Schizosaccharomyces pombe: one gene and its partners. The protein of the gene in region 4 binds, or shares a complex with, the protein of the main gene of each other region. Each region holds a gene or a part of one and is shown on either strand. Other genes may lie near its edges. The genes, in order: mrpl17, mrpl37, mrpl28 and mrpl23.

Evidence for each region.
Region 1: mrpl23 (region 4) and mrpl17 share a complex: the UniProt entries of both Schizosaccharomyces pombe proteins name them as parts of the mitochondrial large ribosomal subunit.
Region 2: mrpl23 (region 4) and mrpl37 share a complex: the UniProt entries of both Schizosaccharomyces pombe proteins name them as parts of the mitochondrial large ribosomal subunit.
Region 3: mrpl23 (region 4) and mrpl28 share a complex: the UniProt entries of both Schizosaccharomyces pombe proteins name them as parts of the mitochondrial large ribosomal subunit.

Annotation. Positions count from the first base shown.
Region 1 is NC_003421.2:2,123,097-2,128,410, forward strand, and holds mrpl17 (mitochondrial 54S ribosomal protein mL46), read right to left. Parts: upstream 2,650-5,314; 5' UTR 2,565-2,649; coding exon 2,447-2,564; exon of another isoform or gene 2,353-2,446; coding exon 1,919-2,352; intron 1,771-1,918; coding exon 1,672-1,770; intron 1,605-1,671; coding exon 1,449-1,604; 3' UTR 1,037-1,448; downstream 1-1,036. Other genes in the region: SAGA complex deubiquitinating submodule subunit Sgf73, read right to left, coding at 1-106, 178-760; twf1 (twinfilin), read left to right, coding at 2,854-2,878, 2,917-2,994, 3,058-3,425, 3,534-3,662, 3,718-3,853, 3,894-4,012, 4,055-4,186; ubiquitin-protein ligase E3 Asr1, read right to left, coding at 4,638-5,314. UniProt on the Schizosaccharomyces pombe protein: Component of the mitochondrial ribosome (mitoribosome), a dedicated translation machinery responsible for the synthesis of mitochondrial genome-encoded proteins, including at least some of the essential transmembrane subunits of the mitochondrial respiratory chain.
Region 2 is NC_003421.2:1,252,428-1,257,144, reverse strand, and holds mrpl37 (mitochondrial 54S ribosomal protein mL54), read right to left. Parts: upstream 2,828-4,717; 5' UTR 2,601-2,827; coding exon 2,181-2,600; 3' UTR 1,919-2,180; downstream 1-1,918. Other genes in the region: protein mug117, read left to right, coding at 1-212; cca2 (ATP/CTP tRNA nucleotidyltransferase), read right to left, coding at 352-495, 555-1,865. UniProt on the Schizosaccharomyces pombe protein: Component of the mitochondrial ribosome (mitoribosome), a dedicated translation machinery responsible for the synthesis of mitochondrial genome-encoded proteins, including at least some of the essential transmembrane subunits of the mitochondrial respiratory chain.
Region 3 is NC_003424.3:2,666,966-2,671,728, forward strand, and holds mrpl28 (mitochondrial 54S ribosomal protein mL40), read left to right. Parts: upstream 1-2,685; 5' UTR 2,686-2,847; coding exon 2,848-3,204; 3' UTR 3,205-3,403; downstream 3,404-4,763. Other genes in the region: hxk2 (hexokinase 2), read left to right, coding at 1-218; mrps12 (mitochondrial 37S ribosomal protein uS12m), read right to left, coding at 1,369-1,857; Brix domain-containing protein Rpf1, read right to left, coding at 3,564-4,484. UniProt on the Schizosaccharomyces pombe protein: Involved in mitochondrial genome encoded proteins translation.
Region 4 is NC_003423.3:4,217,257-4,221,981, reverse strand, and holds mrpl23 (mitochondrial 54S ribosomal protein uL13m), read right to left. Parts: upstream 2,210-4,725; 5' UTR 2,080-2,209; coding exon 2,059-2,079; intron 2,017-2,058; coding exon 1,564-2,016; 3' UTR 1,366-1,563; downstream 1-1,365. Other genes in the region: scs2 (VAP family protein), read left to right, coding at 76-1,037; mrz1 (ubiquitin-protein ligase E3), read right to left, coding at 2,502-3,308. UniProt on the Schizosaccharomyces pombe protein: Component of the mitochondrial ribosome (mitoribosome), a dedicated translation machinery responsible for the synthesis of mitochondrial genome-encoded proteins, including at least some of the essential transmembrane subunits of the mitochondrial respiratory chain.

The DNA of each region.
Region 1 (5,314 bases), on a different chromosome or scaffold from region 4:
ACGGCTCGTTTGCTTGACATTGAATGCGTTTTACATGTGAGAGATCTGGCGCACATTTGCCCATTAGGAAGCAAAACACCGCATTGCTTTTCAACATCCACAGGACCTTAATTGAATGTTAGTATTAAAGTAAACAGGTACTCCATTCTCCATATTGAACAGCATAAACCAACATACCTTTGACCTTTGGATTCTTCTTCTTGCTAGCCTCTTTCTTGGGAAGGGCGGATTTTGTAGGCTTTTTGTTTTCTTCTGTCTTCCGACGTTTTGGAGGCATTTCAGGATTCTTTTGACCATTAACTGAATTCTTTTCATGATTCCCAGCTGAGCCCTTAGCTGTCGATTTAACACCATTTTTGATGGGTGCATTATTGCCATTGTTGACATCTTTGTTTAAAACCTGAGAATTCGCAACAGGCTCAAATTGAGGCTTAGGAGGTTTAATTCCATTGCATGAGCTATGATGGTCCTCAATATACTCTGATAGGAAGGGTCGGTCGCATTTTGTGCATACAACATAATCGAGTTCTGAATTGTTAGGATATGACCCATACTGAGGAAAGGAATCAGCAGGTAGTAAAATTTGAGTTTGATTCGTAATGTTAGAAGTTATTTCATCCTTTACCTGTGATTCTGTATTATCAACTCTTTGATCAGCGAGTACATCTTTGGGTAACCCATCCGGGTATTTCAACAAAACTTGCTCATTTCTTTCCCAATTTTCTGGAAATAACTCCAAAGTCTGTTGTTCTGTTAACATTTTATTGATAAGAACCGAGTTTATAAACAGAATTCTACAAAGTTGCCCTTTGTCAATTCCTTTGTAGTGGGACTAAATCTGTAAGTCAAGTGTATGTACGGTTTAATGCTTCCAGAAAGCAAAGTCTATAATTGCATTCTAATGAACTTTCAAAGGATTATGCTGACACATATCATTTCTGATAATTACTAAATTATACAGACATTGTCTTTAAGGGCTAGACTATGACTGACAAAAGAATTTTTGATCTTGGAATTGAGGACAAACTACGGATATCAATTTTGATTAACAATTCTATTTTTTTAGGTCCCTTGAGCTAAACATAGTTTATTATTAAGGTGCGCGCTTTTCCCGTTTTCTCGTACACTGCCAAGAATCCACAGATCATGAGGGTGAGTAATCATGAAATCCGGACTCCAAAAGTAGGCGGCTGAAAATAAAATACTGGCAGAATCATTTGCAAATAAAAAGATAGAATAAATAAGGAGAAATACTTAGTGAAATTCCAAAATTATTTGTTTTTTTTTACATCGTACCAAAACATCAAAAATTAAGGAGAGAAAAAAATAGAAAACGTGAAAATTAAGCTGAAAAATGCAGTAAGATTGTAGAAAGATTGAATTTCCAAGATGAAATGTTCCGCTGTTTATTTTCCGTAGATTTTACATATTGTTTGCTCAATTGAAGATTACAAACGATCGGAAAGTATGTTTTTTACAGAATCCCATGAAGAAGGAGAAAGTTTGTTTTTCAGTTCATCGTACGTACACCAAACCCAGTCATAAACGTTTTGCAGGTTAGGTACATCTAATCCATTTAATAAACGAGCACGTAACAAGAAGGTCTAGAAATAACTGGTTAAACAAAAAATCAACCCAGATAAAATGAGAACAAAAAATCCGTAGTCTTACCTTTTCTTGTTCCGTTTTTAGTAATGCTAATGGATGACGTGCAACTAGCCAAGTCAACGAATTTTCGTCTAATATATTTTTTAAAAGATCTTGACATAACTACAGTTTGTTAGAAAGGCCAATCTGCAGACTATGTAAACAAAAATTGCAAGAGTATTTGATAAATTATTTAGCATCAAATCAATAGTAAGTAGTCTCTTGCACTATATTGTGTATCTTGGAATCGAATTTTAAAAAATGTACTTACCAGATGCAGCGCCTTCTCGGAGCTTGTAACAGGAGTGTTAGGAAATTGCCAACCCGAGCTTTTAGATTTTTTTACCAACAAGTAAAGGGACTTGTCAAGCGAGCGAAGAGTGCTTCGCTCATCGTTTTTCGTATCAGCTTCTGTGACTCTGGATTGCAAGTGAGTTGCAGAATCCAATAATTTGTTAGACTCCATCTCTTTCCTTTCCTTTCCAAATATCGTCTCAAAGGGTGATTCTTTACCTTTTAGTGTTTTTTGTCGTTCTTGCCAATCTTTTTCACCCACCGATCCCTTCTTGAAATAAAATTCTGCAGGTAAAGGATCACTCAGCTCATTCCAAAGTTCCGCATTATATTTATATATAGATTTTTCGAATTCGGATGGTTGGCGAGTAAGAATTGGCGATCTAATTAAAATTGTACCCACTGAACAACCTAAGATATGTTAGCAATCATGTACATCAAAGGTAATTTTTTTATTTATATTTAATATCCCTAGATAATTCATTTTCATTTTTTAATTCTGTACCTTTTAGAGGAGTCGAGTTAGACAAGGGTTTAGAGGATTGAATGGAATTTCGTACAGAAATGTGAAATTGACGCGAAAAAGACCTCTGCATATTTATAATATTTCTCTTCAAGTACATTGTTTAAACTTAGTCAATTTACGCCAAGTAAATCTCCAAATTTCGGCTTTGTTTACTAATCCGGTAAAGACCACTTGGTAAAGGCAATCGACGTTTCGCTATGGCTAGCACTACCACCTGTTTTACCAGCGTACATTACACGCTTCGTTAAGTACTGTAATATTTCTTAGAGACTCTGTTGCTATCGTTAATATGTTTTAATAGATTTCTTTGGATTTCGTTATAATTCAATTTAACTCACTTAGAATGGGGAATTGCTGACGCAGTAAACCTTTCAATCCCCATAACAATGTCTGCTTCCGTCGAATTAAAACGTAAGAAATTTGGCTAAATTCTTCTAACGTGTGGATAGCTACAGAGAAGTTCAGTAAATTTCTCGAGGAGTACTCTTCGGTACCGGTTCGCGCCGCCATTATTAGCATTTCTAATGGTAAGTTTCCATTCGGGCTAGAAGAGTAAATTTTAAGTTAGTTGAAGTTACTAAATGATTTAGAGAATTCATTTGACGTGAAAACAATGGTTGAAAAATCAGAATCGATAGAATCTGATTTTAAGAAAGTCCGTGAATGTTTGCTCGGATCTGAAGAACCTGCATTTGTCCTCGTTTATGATGATAGCAAGAAAAATCTATTACAATTAATTTCCTATGTCCCTGAAAATGCGAATGTTCGCAGGAAGATGTTATATGCCTCTAGTCGTGCTGCATTTGTAAGATGCGTAACTCTTGCTAAACTCGACGAGTCTTATTTCGCAAGTACTCCGGAAGAGTTAGATTATCAGCAAATTATGAAGAGCTTAAGCAAGCAAGAGGACCAAAGTCCTTTACGACAAGATGAACTCGAAAGGAAAGAGTACAATGAGGTAGGTAAACTGTATTGGGGTGGATGGATTTTTCATACTTCTTTACCGTGGCTCGTAGAATTTATAGCTTCTACTCTTTTATTTGCATCTATTTTAACAACTATGTAGTCTATGCAATCCTCAGTAACTCATAAGCGTCCTTTGGTGACCCGTGGTGTTGCTATGTCGATTGATGATAAAGCCTTAAAGGCTCTTTCTGATTTAAAATCATCTACAGAAAACAATCTTGTTATTTTGGTAAGGAAGCTATGATACTTTTGCTATGTATGGTGTTGCTAACCTCCTTTAAAAGTCTATTGACAAAGAAGTCATAAGTTTAAGTCAAGAAAAGCAAAATATACCTCCTTCTGATGTGAAATCCTTCTTTTCTTCCACCGAACCTAATTTCGCTTTCTATTCCCTGCCAAAAGACGGCTCTTCAAAAATTTGTAAGTACAGATGCAGGATCATTTTATTAACAAGGTCTAGTGTTTATATACATTTGTCCAATGCAAGCAACTGTCAAACATCGAATGGTTTATTCTTCTTCCAAACTTGGTCTTTTGGATAGTATTAAAGCAGAATTGGGTATTGTTATTGATGGCAAGGTATGTTTATCCCTCGTAGTAGATTTTATGCTCACATGACAGATTGAATCGAATGATGCCGCTGATATAACTGAAAAGGAAATTCTTCATGCTGCTGGGATATCAAGTCCTCAAGCAGAAACAAGCACCACCAAAACTGGTTTTTCGAGACCTCGACCCCCTAGAAGACGTTAAGCAAGTATATACAATTTTTTGCGGTTTCAAATTTACAGACTTTTTAGTTTATCAATCTTTTTCATGACATTTCAAATTCGAATTAAAACAAAATATACTACCAACGCCTATATTGAGCACACGTTGCATGCTATATTAACGGTCTCACTTTGCAATGCAAAATGTTATACTTCAATAAATAGAATAAGACAATCACTAGATCTATACATTGTTTCCTCTTTTCTAAAAGCGAAATCCTTAAAGACTCCATTCTTGACGAGTGTTAATCTTGCAAACATATATTGTTCAAACATTAAAGAAACACTATCCTTCATTAACAAAATAAATACTCTTTTGGAAATTGTAATTGACCTCAAAAGTTACTTTCTGATTTCCAAAAGATTAGATATGATATAATATTAAAAGCATATGCACCAAACCATAACTCCTATCATAAATACATAACTCATAATCAGTCATTTGAAAGAGACTGTATACAGTTAACAACCTTTTCCCGTATTGTCTTGCTTATTTTATGTTGCTGAGGTCCTTCAAGCGACAGAGTACCATCCGATAACGCAGTGTATACAGATCGACAGATATTCTTATTGAATAGAGCAAATTGATCTTTAGATATTTTTGCTTCTCGATAATAAGGCTTCAGAGCTGCGTTAACTAGCCGTTCTATTCGATACTTCGTTTCATAAGAGACTTTTTTGCTGGAATGCACCAAATCATGTCGGCCCGAAGTGCGTCGTTGATGCATACTCGTATCATTAACTAAATGATTATCCACAATTTCTCCTGGTTCCGAAAGTTCAATCAAATGGTCATCCAAATTATCATTACTGATTTCCCTAGGTGATAGCGGTACGTGAGATGGTCGAGGAGAGAGATTTGAGAAAAGAGGAGTCAAGTGAACGTCTGAAGTTCCATCCGAAGCTTCAGAGTGAGAATTCTTAATCTCATGTTGTAAACTTAACATAAAGGAAGTATCTATTCGTGAGGTGCTTGGCTGGTTGATGTTGCTAATTAAACTAGCGAGAAAAGAATTCTCTGATTTAGATGATGAATTATTGCCTAATACTGTAGAAGATCCTGAGGATTTATTAGAACAAGGAATGTGCCGACGAGTAGGTCGCTTTTGCC
Region 2 (4,717 bases), on a different chromosome or scaffold from region 4:
AAGGTGATTATCCAGCACGCACAGGCAACGAAATCATTGATGAATTTGATCAATTAAATTTGCAATGTTCCGCTTGTGGAACTCGTTTTTTTAATAATGATAATGAAAACACAAGATGCTATGTCAAATTGAACTACTGTTATCCAGACTGTACCGAAATTACACCAAGCACCAGCGAATACGATTATCGAGAGCCGGTTAGAGATTGGTAATAATAAGAGGAAAGGATCCATTCTGAATTAAGCATAAATATCATAAATACGAATTTCCAAAAAGGACGACGATTACTGGTGACTTTTATTCTTTTAATCTTTTGTGCGATTAAGTTATCTAAACAGTGATTGTCTTTTCTTATATTTTTAGGGATTGAAGGTATGCAACACAATCTTCGACACTTCCTTCAGGGTGTTTAAATTGCCAGGAAATCATGTTATCCATAGTCTCTTTCAGCTGCGGGCCAGGCTTAACTCCCACATTTTTCATGATCTGTTTTCCCTAAAAAATTGTTAGCTTATTCGCTCAATATTGTTAACAGAAATAAAAGAATTACATACGTCTAATAATGGCTTCATGTTATAAGCATTTTGTAAATTTTTGTCATAAATAAAGTCATATAGAGATTTATAAGAACTAAATGTATTTGATACAGATGCTGCCGGTGTTTTACAACAACTATATATGACCGATGTTAAAAACACGACTTCCCAGGATTTATTCAATTGTCGTATTAAGCTGCCAATAGATGAGCAATTTTTAGTGGAAGTATCGTTAACTAATTCATCGAATATCGGATTGAATGTGCAGCACTGATTCAACTGGTTAACATATGTACTTCTGAGCTTCAACTTGTCTTTTGCGATGATTGCAGGAATATAAAATTGTTTTTTCTTAACCATAACAGTTTGACTAGACCATGGAATTAGAGCAACATATAGCCATAGCCCAATTTTCTCATCTTCACTTAATTTCATAAGTTTAGGAAACGTCAATGCAAGACTCTGAAATAAAGACTCGGTAGCTTCCAATGCCTTTGGAATTTGAAATTCTTTTTCAGCTGGCAAAGTATCGAACGTAAACTGATACGTGTTCGTTGAATATAACAGTTGAAGTGCTAGCTTCGCGTTTGCACCCTTCAACATTTTCTCAATTTCCTCTCCTACACGTTCCTTGCTAACCTTTTTTTCAAAAGCTTTACATACTTTCGGATCTTGGATAGCGGAAACGACCGACGGATCAATTGTAAATTCAAATCTGGATGCAAACCGAATGCCTCTCAAAATTCGTAAGGGATCTTCCAAAAATGATTGGAGAGGTGAAATGGGCGTGACCAACACTTTGGTTTGCAAATCTTTATATCCTCGCTTTGTAATGTCCTCTATTTTTTCTGTTCGTATGTTAAAGAATAGGGTGTTAACCGTGAAGTCTCTTCTCAATGCATCTGTTTCAACAGTTCCTGGGGTAACGCTAGGAATTCGACTTTTATCATCATATGATTCTGCACGAAGTCCTACAAAATCAATATCAAGGTCAAATAGGGATAAGGTAGCAGTTTCTAAATGCTTGCTTTGATCGGGATTGACAGTTAGCTTGCCAAGTGCGTCTTTATATGGAATAACTGAGTCAGAGTCGAGAGAGTGAACATACTCAAATATTGAATTTGCAAAGTCAACACCGGTAACTTTATTCAACGTAACGTCTAAATCGTCACTAGAAAGCCCAAGAAGTTTATCGCGAACCCATCCTCCTGCCAATCTAACTTCCAATGACGAACTGCTGCTGGATTTAGATTCAATAAAATCAGCAGTCTTTTTCAAAAGATTAACAACTTTTTTCTCAACATCGTTCAATACAATTCTAGAATACATTTTCGTCAGCCAAATTCCATAAACGATACACAGTTTGGGCAATACCGGTTTCTCTAAGGTTGGCAGGTTGAGGTTTGAATATGCTTCTCTTAAAGAAGGACATGTAGTAGTAATTTTTTTTATGCTACAAATGTATATCACTGATATAAGGTTATTTAATATATTTTTATTTTAAAATGATTTTTGGATTCTGGGAAATGGTAAAGTAGCGAATGTCATATGCCTCAAAAAAAGTAAACAAAAAGAATGGATCAAATGCTCATAAGGATAGAGAGGAGATGGAAAATTAAGAGTTTCAAACATTCTAAAAGGTAATTATTTTTTAGTAAGAAAGTTAGCCGCTCGAATGGCACTTTTACGAGCATGACTTCGGGCAGTCTTAGAATTGGGAGCTGGCTCATCCAGAAGAGACCATAACCATTCTGGATATTCATGATCTTCACGAGCTACAGGGTCGACGCCACCCGCCTTTATACACAGTCCCTTTAATATAGTACCTGGAAGGACAGAACTAGTGTGCGTTTTATTAGCGACTTTTTGAGCTGAAGAAGTGGCATCCGAATTATGCTGTGGCTTTTTGGGTGAAACACGAGAGGATACATAACTTCGTTTAACTAATGATGAAGAAGAGTTACGGGAACTTCTTAAAACCAATGTGTTAGAGTAGCATGAGAATTGAGAGATACCGCGAGTAATTGCGCGCGATAAAGGGGCCATTGACTCGATAAATGGCATTGCTTAGACAGTAAACAAAAAACTTTGCAAGGAGGATAAAATCTTTAACCAAAAGTGGATCAAAGGCGATGAAAAAGGTCAATAGTAACGCCTTCGCATATATAAGGAGCAAATACGTCCTGCTCTTTGAGTGAAAAGTTTTAGAGAATAATATTATTTCAAGTACTATAGGAAATAAAAAATGACTCTATAAAGAGCCGCTTTCAAAGTTCAAGGAGTTTGGTTATGGGACAACCTGGACGTTACTATACAACTCATGTACAGATGGGTAGCAGACACAGGTACATGTAAGGGTTTCAAGCGTCTGTTTACAATTTGGGAATCAAAATAAAATTTTTGTTTTTGTTTTTTTCATAATTATAAACTATTGCTAAGTTCAAATGGGGTGTCGTTCTAACAAGAATGTCATTAAGTTTACAATAATAATACCAAGCACGCTTGAGTACTATAGGAATACTTATGAAATAAAGTAAAGCACAATCTATCAAGTGAGACTCTAGAAATGTTAATCGAAAATTGTATTTGTCTGTGTTCGACTATGTAAGAAAGTCAAAGAAATAAAATAATATGATTTATTTTTACAATAAATCATTAGCACATTAGAATATTTCTACTTCATTCATTTTTCTCAACTTGCAATGTTTCTTCGACAATCACTTGATTGTTGTAAATGGTAAAGAACCATTAGGTGTTATTTGGGATATTGAGGAACAATCTAGTAGTACGGTTTAAATAAAGAGAACATATATAGATTTTAGAATTAGTATTCAATTATGTTTAACGTTATGTCCTTCATTCGATACGTCAGAATTACCATTTTTTTTACTTGCGAAATGTACTTATTCCACACAGTTAGCGACTGATCCATTGAGGATCGAGAAGCGCTTGCAATCACTTTTTGTTAAAGAAAAATAGATTTACAATAAATTTGACAAATTGTACTAGTCGGTGTCTTAAGTCACTCGGGACAATTGAAAAAAATAAATCACTGACTTGCGAACTCTTCTTAGTTAATAGTTACACCTTTATGGGTGTTTTCTTAAAATTTCGCCAAGTTTTACTTTAGATAGAACATAAATCATTTAAAGTATTATCCATCTCATGAAAACAATAAAAAATCTGCAAGAAGATCAATAAACAAGCTTTAACCATCAGGTTATTCTCTTACTAGAATTTCATTATTTGCCTCGATAAATTCCTATAACATATTTCTCTAAGGCTCTTCGATATTCATTTTACAAATAAAAAAAATCATGCCGACAACGGCAGGATTCGAACCTGCGCTCCCAAAGGGAATCCGCTGGGCTACAGAATAGCAGGCGAACGCCTTAAAACCACTCGGCCACGTTGTCCTCCGTTGAGACGATTAGTATTAAGTAGATTATGTATTTAAATTTAATAAATTTATAAGAGATTATTTAGTGTACCGAAATAGTTTTAAATTCATTTATTTAGTATATTTTTGCTTATAACATTTCCGGTTCATTTTGGAAACGATTTAAATAAAGAAATTTTACAATTTTGTAAAAATGTATGCTTTCAATGTACAATTACGATTTTCCCTATTTTGCTTTTCTTACACTGAAGGAAATGCTTGTGATTTCCTCGATCAATATTTGATATCCTATTTTTTTCCCTCATTTATTTTCTGGGGGTTTTTTTTTCTTTCATCCTGTAGAGAAATTGTATATACTTTCTGTTTATTTCTATATTACTATAAGATGGGGATTTAGTTTTAAATAGTAATGAACCAAATTAAATTACATTGAACTTATCAATAGTATTATGCTTTGTGCTTCTGCGATTTATTTTTTTTATTTTTTAAAATTATTTTAATTTATTTTTGATGATTCGGGATTGCTTGTTAAAATATTCTCTTGTCAGCTTTCTACATAGTGCCATTTAAATATAGGTAAAAGATATTGCAATTGAAATCAACATATCTCCTAGCACAATATTAACCATTTGCGAATCCATTTAATAAATAATGCCTATTCCTACCATATGCATTAAAAAAAAAAAAAAAAAAAAAAAAAAAACACTTTGAATATTTATTTAAGCAAAAAGTATAATGTTTAATAAATGGTTCCATGAGATTTGATAAACTGTTCATTTGA
Region 3 (4,763 bases), on a different chromosome or scaffold from region 4:
TTTCTACCGGCCGCGCTGGTAAGAAGAGTGATGTTGGTGTTGATGGTTCTTTAGTCGAACACTATCCTCACTTTGTTGACATGCTCCGTGAAGCCTTGCGTGAGCTTATCGGTGATAACGAAAAATTGATTTCCATTGGTATTGCCAAGGATGGCAGTGGTATTGGTGCCGCTCTTTGCGCCCTCCAAGCTGTTAAGGAAAAGAAAGGCTTGGCCTAAATCATGTTAGATGTCTGTTAGCTTTTTTTGAATTGTACGTAGAAATGAGCATGTAAATATGAAATTGCTTTTTAACAGCTTTTAGTTAAGATGTTTTTTTTGAAAGTGAATTTATTTCCTGGAATTAGTTAATAGTATGAAGATTGAATATCAGATGAATTAAAAAGCATGTTGTGATTGATGTTATATGTCTCTTTAAAACAAAATTGTGGTTGTGTATTGTTATTAAATTTGTTACGATTTTGTTAACATTCCAAAAAAGAGTACGGAATTTACAAACATTACAGGACATCTCAAAGATGTGTGTGTAAATTGATTCTAACAAAAAGAAATTTGATTTTTTTTAATCTGAGTTTGTAAAAAATAAGATTCATCATACCCTATTATCTCAAATTTATGAATTATTCGGGTTCAAGATAAAATCTTCTTTTTCTTTCAAGAAATCCAATTAACCAAGATTTGTTAAAAAATATTTTTCTCATCGTTTAGTAAATTTTTCTGCAACGTTGAACGGTGAAGTTGTGCTAGCAATACTGCATACTATATAAATAAGAACCGGAAAGCGTTTTCCAACACCCAAAAGGTGTTTTTTATACTTTATTCAAGAGTTAAAAATTAAATAGCACGGTAGTAAAACCAAATTGAACAAATTAAAAATTGAAAGCGTCTCAAGTTTAAAATTTATTTAAAGAGCTTATATCAAAAAAGTAGAAAACTTTCCAAAAGGATTTCTCAAAAGAAAATCCTCCTCATTTTAATAAATCATTGTTTAGATAGATTTGGTTAAATTTTAACCAAAAGGATTATCTATTTGCTAATTTTTTAGATAACTGGAAATTGCCTAATTACACAATCTTTTTTACCTTTTTTTGATGATTGTATGTTTAAAGGGGATGTAGTTCAACTAAAAAATTGCTTATTAAACATGCAAGAGTAAATGATTATTGAATATGTATAGTTGCAACAAGAAGCAAGGTTGCGAGAAATGACAAATGGGTTGACTCAACTTTTTTCTCATTTAAATTTTTGTTTCAGTCATTTTAATAAGGTCCTTGTGAATCGATATCAAAAGAGGAGGTGGAATAATTATAAAGATAACGTTTCTGAATATCATGGTTTTCGAAAAAGAAAGTCTTTGAGGTCATGAAGTTTAGGCTGCTTTCGGTTTTTTTACTCCATACTTGCTTCGGGATGTGACACGTCCCGCTACACCAGCAATGTCATAGACACCCCGAACAACATGATATTGGACTCCTGGACAATCCTGTGCTCTGCCGCCTCTTAACAATACCACAGCATGCTCCTGTGCATTATGACCGATACCTGGAATGTAAGCAGTAACAGAACGGCCGGTTGAAAGGCGTACACGGGCAACCTTTCTTACTGCCGAATTAGGTTTTTTGGGTTTTACTGTAAAGACCCTCGTGCACACACCCCGTCGAAACGGACTTCCCTCTAAAGCAACAGATTGCTTATTTGTTTTTTCAGGACGTTTCTCTTTATTTCTTATCGTTTGATTTAATGTCTTTAACATAACTGAAGAGCTAGAAAACGCTTGAGCCTGAAATGGTGAAATAACTGTTGGCTTCATCAACCTTGAAATTACCGGATATCGAGCATATTGAGCAAAACGGATCATTATTTGGGGAAATTTAATATTTGAGCTGTATAAAATCTCAAAAATCACTATAATAGATGCTTGAGCAAGGAATTCCGAAGTTTGTACCCGAACGTCGCTGGTTTGGTGTTAGTGTATGTATATTGCCTTGGAATAGAATATCTCGCAGCATTCATATTATTCGATGGGATACAAAAATTTATTCTTTTATATTTTGACAAACATTTTTGGGTATAACTAGCGTATTAAATATTTTTTCCTCTAGGAATTGAACTTTAATGGACTAGTCTAAAACAGATGCAGAATGTAGGTATGCTAATCGACAAATTTACAGTACAGTGTTAAGCTGAAAAAATCAACTTAATTCATGACTTCTACTGAAAAACGTACTGGAAGTAGATTGTATTGAGGTTTAAGCTTCGTTTTGCCATGCCATTTTCAGTTGATGATAGTATTTATTACAATAACTTATCCATTCATTAAAACTTTAAACACTGATATGGATTTATCAATGTGTTTGACTACTTACATGAAACTTAGCAGAAAAATTGAGCATCAGGCCTACTCCATATAAAGCTTTGACTTAAAACTTAATATTTTCTACTTGTTAAATGTCTTCGTTTGGTTACATATCTCCATAAATGCATATGCTTTGTTTGGCTTAGCTACTGAAAATTCAGAAACAATTAAATGAACTCCGAATTATAATCTATATTTTTTTTATCAGTGTGTGAAATTGAAGGGGATTTGATGAAACACTTCTTTTTTTGAAATATCGTACTGGTGGCTTTTCCTAGTGTATCACGACTTACTCTCTTAATTAGCTTCATACCACTGAACACGTTTACTACTACCGCATTTTTCTCTACTCAGGTTTTTTAGCTTTTAAAGGAAGGTTTTATGTTAATACTTTTGAAAATTAAATTTTTTTCTATCAACGTGAAAAAATTCAAGGAGTACTTTAGTTTGTGTTGAAAAGTTTTTTGGCAGATGCGTTCTACGTTACAATTAATGGCTAAGGCCTCAAAGGGAAAGCACCAATCTGGTCCTTCTAATCATAGTGAGTCAATCGATTTGGTTAGAAAAGCTCTTTACGGAAATAAAAAAGTCAGGTCTTTGAAAATGAATCCAGACATGTGGGAAAAACACGAAGTTATTAATCGCGCTTGGCGTATACACGAATATCGACAAGAAAAACAAAGAGAGAATCTTCTAAAAAACCAATTCTCTGCAATGAAAATTGCTTGCGAGGAACTGAAGCATACGAGTGAAACATTATATAAAGCCGCAATGAGCGATTCAATTAACAGGAGGTTCCCCGTAGAAACGAGGACTCCTACGGACACACCACCACGGCTTTCTAAATAGGCGAGCGCCTTTTATGAGTATAATTAATATCTTCGGTAGTGCTCGAAAGTGTTATAGACAAGTTCAAGTATATAAAAAAATGTATCACTAATTACGAGCAAGTATAATCTAATTAGGATTTTTAAATAAACCAATAATTGAATTAAAGAATTATGTCTCCTAGTTTCTAGTCTACATGTATCATATTATTCATTCCCAATTTCACCGTAAACGAATGATACAAAATGAAAGGCCATGCTTTCTTTTTTAACCAAAAATTTAGAATTGTTACCAAACCCAAACCCTACCTCGAAAACAATAAAATATGACCCAAACACTGTTTTCTTTTTACAACGTGTCGCAGATGAGACAAAATGTCTTTAAAGCCAGAATTTACGTCTATCTGATTCTTCACCGGCATTGCTCTCGAAGAAAACCTCCCCTTCTTTCCTATCCCATACTCCTTTTTGAACCATACGAAGACGCATGGTAAATCGAGGACCTAATTCTTGTAGCCCAGTTCCAATACCATCTGGCATATTCGATTTTTCACGAAATGCATAACGGTGTCTTCGAAAAAAAAGAAAATCTCTTTGACAATGGATGGTAACAACTTGTCGCCCTTGAATTTGAGGCGTTTGAATAAATAATGATTGAAAGGCTCGAGCAACAGTCATACCAAGTCTCGTTGAGAAATTGTTGATTATCAGTTCTGGAATATGACCAGTGGAGCGGCCATGATTTGAAATTTCCTTTGCTGTTTGGAGATTCGATAAGGTAAAATAGAACGAAGGGCCATTCGGTAAGTGTACAAGGGTTAATGCATTTGTTTTTTTACGATCCTCATTTAATACCAGTAAATCGGTGTAACCACGCTTAGCAGCGGCTTCTGCGATTTCATGAACTTCAATATCTCCGGTTCTTTTTCGAAATTCAGCATTAGGAAAACAATCTAAAAGCTCAGATGCAAAATCATAGCATTTTCTAGAGGCTCGTTTACTCGTGGTTACCAAAAGTTTCGGAACTTTCCTTTCTTCACTAAAGTATGCAGAAAACTCATCATCTTTTAACTCCGCCTGAAGTTCCTCATCGGGTTTATCCTCTATGATAGTTTCATCATAAACTCGTTTCGATTCAATAGTAGCGGGAATATTTTCTGAAAGTCGCAATCTCTTCTTTTCCGGGTCTTTTTCTTCTTCTTTAGCACGTTCTTTTCTTCTTTCAAGCTTGTCCTTATTTTTTTGATGAAGAGCCTTCATATACTGCTGTTGGCGGACAATTTTGTTTTTAATCTTCCCCATTTTAATAAGTTGCGTATAATCTCTCAAAATTTAAAATTTAAGAATGAAATAATTTAAATCCTTACAAAAAATTGCAACTAAAAAAAATTGAGATAAGAATGAGCAACTTAAGTACAAATAAAAGAGAGTTAAAAAAAAGTATACGATGGGTTTGAAGTCTCAAAAACTTATTGCACAATCCAATTCCATGTCGCAAAATACCGAATCTGAAGAACATGCTACGAATTTCGTCAAATTTGCTTAAAAGTATTAACGCAGTATTATATCACACTGCTGTTA
Region 4 (4,725 bases):
ACTACTATCATCTTTTTTTTTTATCTTTACGTGCCTCTAGTGTTTTTCTATTATCTTGGCTAACATATATTCTAGTTTTGCTTCAAGCTATGAAGGAGGAGCCTGCTCCTGACTTTAAATGTCGTGACAAGTTTTTAATTCAAAGTATGGCTATCGGTGATGCTGATACCAGTAATGTCGAAAATTATCACGAGTTTTGGACTGAAATGGAAAAACAAGGCCGTTCCATTTTTGATCGTAAAATCCGCTGTGTTTATTCAACTAAGCAACCTCCTCAATCCGCTGATAAACAGGTTGAGAACACTAGTACTTCTAACCCCCCTGTTTCTGTTGAAGGTTCCGAAAACTTAGCATCTTCTGTCGGCGGCCCTACGGCGGTTGGTGTGTCTTTGGATGAAGCTCAAAATGACTTCAATGGAGCAAAGGATCATTTAAGCAATGGTGTTAATACTGTTGTTCCAGATAGTACCTTCCGCTCTACTTTCGAAAGTGCACAAATTCCCGACGCCAGTGTAGTTCAAACCGTTGTTACTGATGCTGACAATGGTGCTGCTTCTGTCAAAGATACCATTGTGACAGCCGAAAGTGCTTCTTCCAAAGGAGCCGATGTTGCTAGATCGAAGGTACAAGATATTATTGATAATGAAATTCCAAAGCCTTCAGAAAGCCCTCGTCGCTCTGTTTCTTCGACTCCACCAGTCCACCCCCCTCCTCCCGTCCCCCAAAATTTATCAGCTGTCAATGAAGAATTTGATACTAAGAAGAATGATTTCGATTCTAAACTTCCTGAATCTACCCCTGCCGTTGAAAAAGTTTCTGAAAATCTCGGATCTGAAACTCGTGAATCTTTACAAGGGGCAAAACCTGCTGCAGGTGCTCATAGTTCCGACAACGCCTTGGAACAAATCAAGCCCTCTTATTCAGCTGACCCTTCGAGTTCCACTGGTGCTTCTTTAACCGAATCTCCAGGAATTCCTCCCAATATTGTTATCATTCTTTGCCTGATTTTCTTCCTTATTGGCTATCTTTTCTTTTAAAATGTAAAGCGTAGATATGTTTAATAAGAAGTGTAAAATCTTCTCCCTAAGTTAATGGCTCTTGATTTTATTACTTTATATGGCCTTTGCTAAGCAAGGTTTTAGGTTGACGTTTGTTGAATTTGTTTGCTCTTCACAACGATAGGGTACTTTTTAGCGCGTTTATCTGGCTTTGGAGATAATTTCCAAATGTCGTTATTTATGTCGACGTCTCATGTTATCTACTTTTTACTCGCAAGAAAAGTTGTAGTCCTCTTATGGTTACCAGACATTCATTCTTACCAGTTCACAAACGTAAATGTGTCTTTAAATACATTACAGCTTCTTATAGTGAATACAATAACATTAATTTATATAAAATAATTTTTTTTGGAAAGAACAATATTAAAATGTGTTAGCTTTTTAGGGCATACGACATTGTGGAATGTTCAAACATTAATGCAAAAAATCAATGAAATTTAAGTGAGTAGGGATATGGCTTTTGTTCTTTGAACTACCTTTTAAAATTAAAGGAGATTTTAAACACTTATTTCGAGAATAATTCCTTCGCAATTTGCGAACTTACAGGATTATGGTAGGAACGAAATATGTTTGCCTTATAAGGGTGTTCAGCTCCATCGTAAATATAAAGACGTTTCATTCTCCTATCCCAAAGCTTATTTCTTGGAAGCATTCCACCAACTGCTCTTCTCAACAAATCCTTGTGCCCCCGTTTCGCAGCCATTTCTTCCATCGTCCACTCTTTAAGATGACCAGGCTGACCCGAATGTGAATAATATTTATGATTTTCGAGTTTTCGACCAGAAATCCCAATTTCAGAACAGTCAGTGACTACTACGACATCTCCACAGTCTGCTGCAGGGTGATAAATGGGTTTGTGCTTGCCCATAAGAGTAGTTGCAATTTGGGAAGCCAGCCTACCTAGAGGAACATTTTTTGCAGAAACATGATGCCAAACTTTGGCGTAAGCCAATGCTGTCTGATATTGTTAGTAAAAGAAACTGTCAAACTAATTTCATACTTGTCCATTCAACGTTGACATCGCGTTGAGATTTCTATATCATAAAATCCTCAGTTCCTTCTGATTTTTCTCTTAAAGCGACAGTACAATATCAGTGGTTTCTAATAAAAGAGAAGTAGGAAAATTGCTCAAATAATGTTTCCTCAAGCTTGTAGGTGTGGGTAAATATTGGATGCTAAGCAACTGTAGTAAGGTAACTGTTACCTACAAAATTTCTATTTTTCAAAAATGTTGTTTTATTTATTATTTCTTAAATATTGATTTTTCAATTCATAATACGAACCTCCTTTACTAATCATGATAAAGCTAATAGCTATTGCTTCAAAAAATACCATTTGTATATATTAGAAAAAATAAGGCAATGAACGATACAATGATAAAACTAATTTTTGATAAGCCCAAAGAATCACAGTAAATTGCAATAATATACAATTAACGCTTGATTACGAATTTTCCGTCTCAGGACCAGATTCATGCTGAATGTTTTCAATTTGACTCAACAGCTGAACCATTGTTAAGCCTTCCGGACCATACAAATATCGCTTGCTATACAAGTAGCTGCTTATCGACAATGGACGGAATTGTAAATATCTTTGCAATTCATGGAGGAGTATAGAGGACTCTTCATGGCCTATAAATTCCGCTAATTCATCAATGGTTTGTGGATGTTGAATATTCTGAACTCGTAAGAGACCCATCAAAAAGATTTGTATAAAGTTAATTTGATGTCCATCTAAATATTCAAACAAGAGAAGTTCTTTAGCAATAAAGCTTTCCACTTTCTTTAATAAAGATGCGCTAGAAGCTAGTTGGATAGGAGTGGGTATTTGATATTGCCTATGTGATGAAAGCGAGGGATTTTCATAGCTTTTCCATGCCTTTTGATAGATGAAACGTCGTACGCGTAGCAAATCGGCCAATCTGTCAGTGTTTTCGCTGGAGGAAAATGAAGGCTGCCGTAGTAATTGTCGTGAAATCGAATACTGATTTGACCCCAAAGATTGAGTATACCACTTCTTATACAAACTTGACCCATGAAATCCATAAAACACACAATCTACGTGTCTCTTACAGATGGGACATGTCAAGGATTGATCCATCCAGCGACATATGCAAGAATAATCGAACTGGTCATGCCCACATGGAGATAGCTGTGCCCGAAGACCATCTTTTTGTAAACATATAACGCAATCTCGACGAAGGTAGCGAGAATTTGACGAGTTTTTACGTACAAGGAATTGCTTTTTCATTCTTCTTCTAAAATTTAATAACTTGTTATATTGTATTTATGCACTAAATTAATTGATGTGTATGAAACCGCATGAATGGCAGAATGTCAAGTTATCTTGTCATCAAAAAACATTGTGTGCTTATTCTTCTTAATGGAAAATTATTCAAGTCATAATTTGCAAGACTTGTTGAATTTTTTAAGGTGAATTTTCACAATCGTCGTCTTACACTAGATGTAGGCTAAGTTATGAGAACAATTAACAATTCGCAGTTACTAAACTGAATCTCTTCTGTACGCTCTTCGTAACGTTAACTTAGCTTAACGCGGTTAATGCTATATGCATAATACAAACAAAGAAGTACATGTTAATGTTAGCAGAACTACACTAGCTATGATACAGTACGTTGCGTATCACTATATGTCATATGCTAAGATATTACTTAAGATTCGTTTGCTGATAGATGCGGATAAATTGCTTTTCTGCATACATAAATAAATTGCTAAAAACTATTAGAAAGATTGTAAATAGAGCTACCACTGAACCTCGTTCCTCAGCTCAGTTATTAGCTATATCGGTGACCGATACTAATAGACTTCTTATAACAATAAATATACATTGTTAGTTAAATATTGCATACCGCTATATTGTAGGTCGCTAGAGAAACGTACCGCAATTTTTCGTATCGTTAAACAGATACCGAACTGCGTAGTCAACAGTTAAAAAATATAACGAAGTAACCTGTATTGCACTGTACAGAAACTTTTAGGTAAGTAGAGAGGCTAAAGTCCTCGAGAAATAAGAAAGTATAAGCGGGTTTAGCTAAAAAACTTAGCATCTTTTGTTCATCTGAATGCCTTTTCGCTCTTTAAACTACCGTGGAAAACCCTAATCTCTAGATTTAAAATTTGGAATGTACTTGTTTATAGTTGAAACAGCTACGTATCTTTGATTTCAATATTTGCCTTTTAAGATTATTGCTTAAAAGAATTGTTTAGAGCGAACTCGATTTTGCATTCTCCAAAACAAAATGAACTGCATATAATACCGCGGTACCGAGGCAACAACTTCTACTTCATATAAGTTCTAAGAGTTAGTCAAAATGTAATGCTGATTGCAAGTTCACATGACTAATTTAGACGGCTTGAGATATTTACTTAAATAAACAAAAATTTATGGGCTTATTGTTTTTCTGTTTTCGGGTTCGTCTTGCTCACTTGAAAACATTATTTAATAAATTCATAGTCAATAAAAATGGATATACTTTGTATAACAATATTTGTTACTACATTTTATGCTGAACATTGGTGTGATAAAATTCATGGAGGTAGCGGTTACTTCGCTGGTTAGCTTGATCCTATTACATAACTACGGTTTACGATAGTATATCTCACTAACATTTAATTTCACTAGCTGTCTTTCGTGAATTTTCCTATTA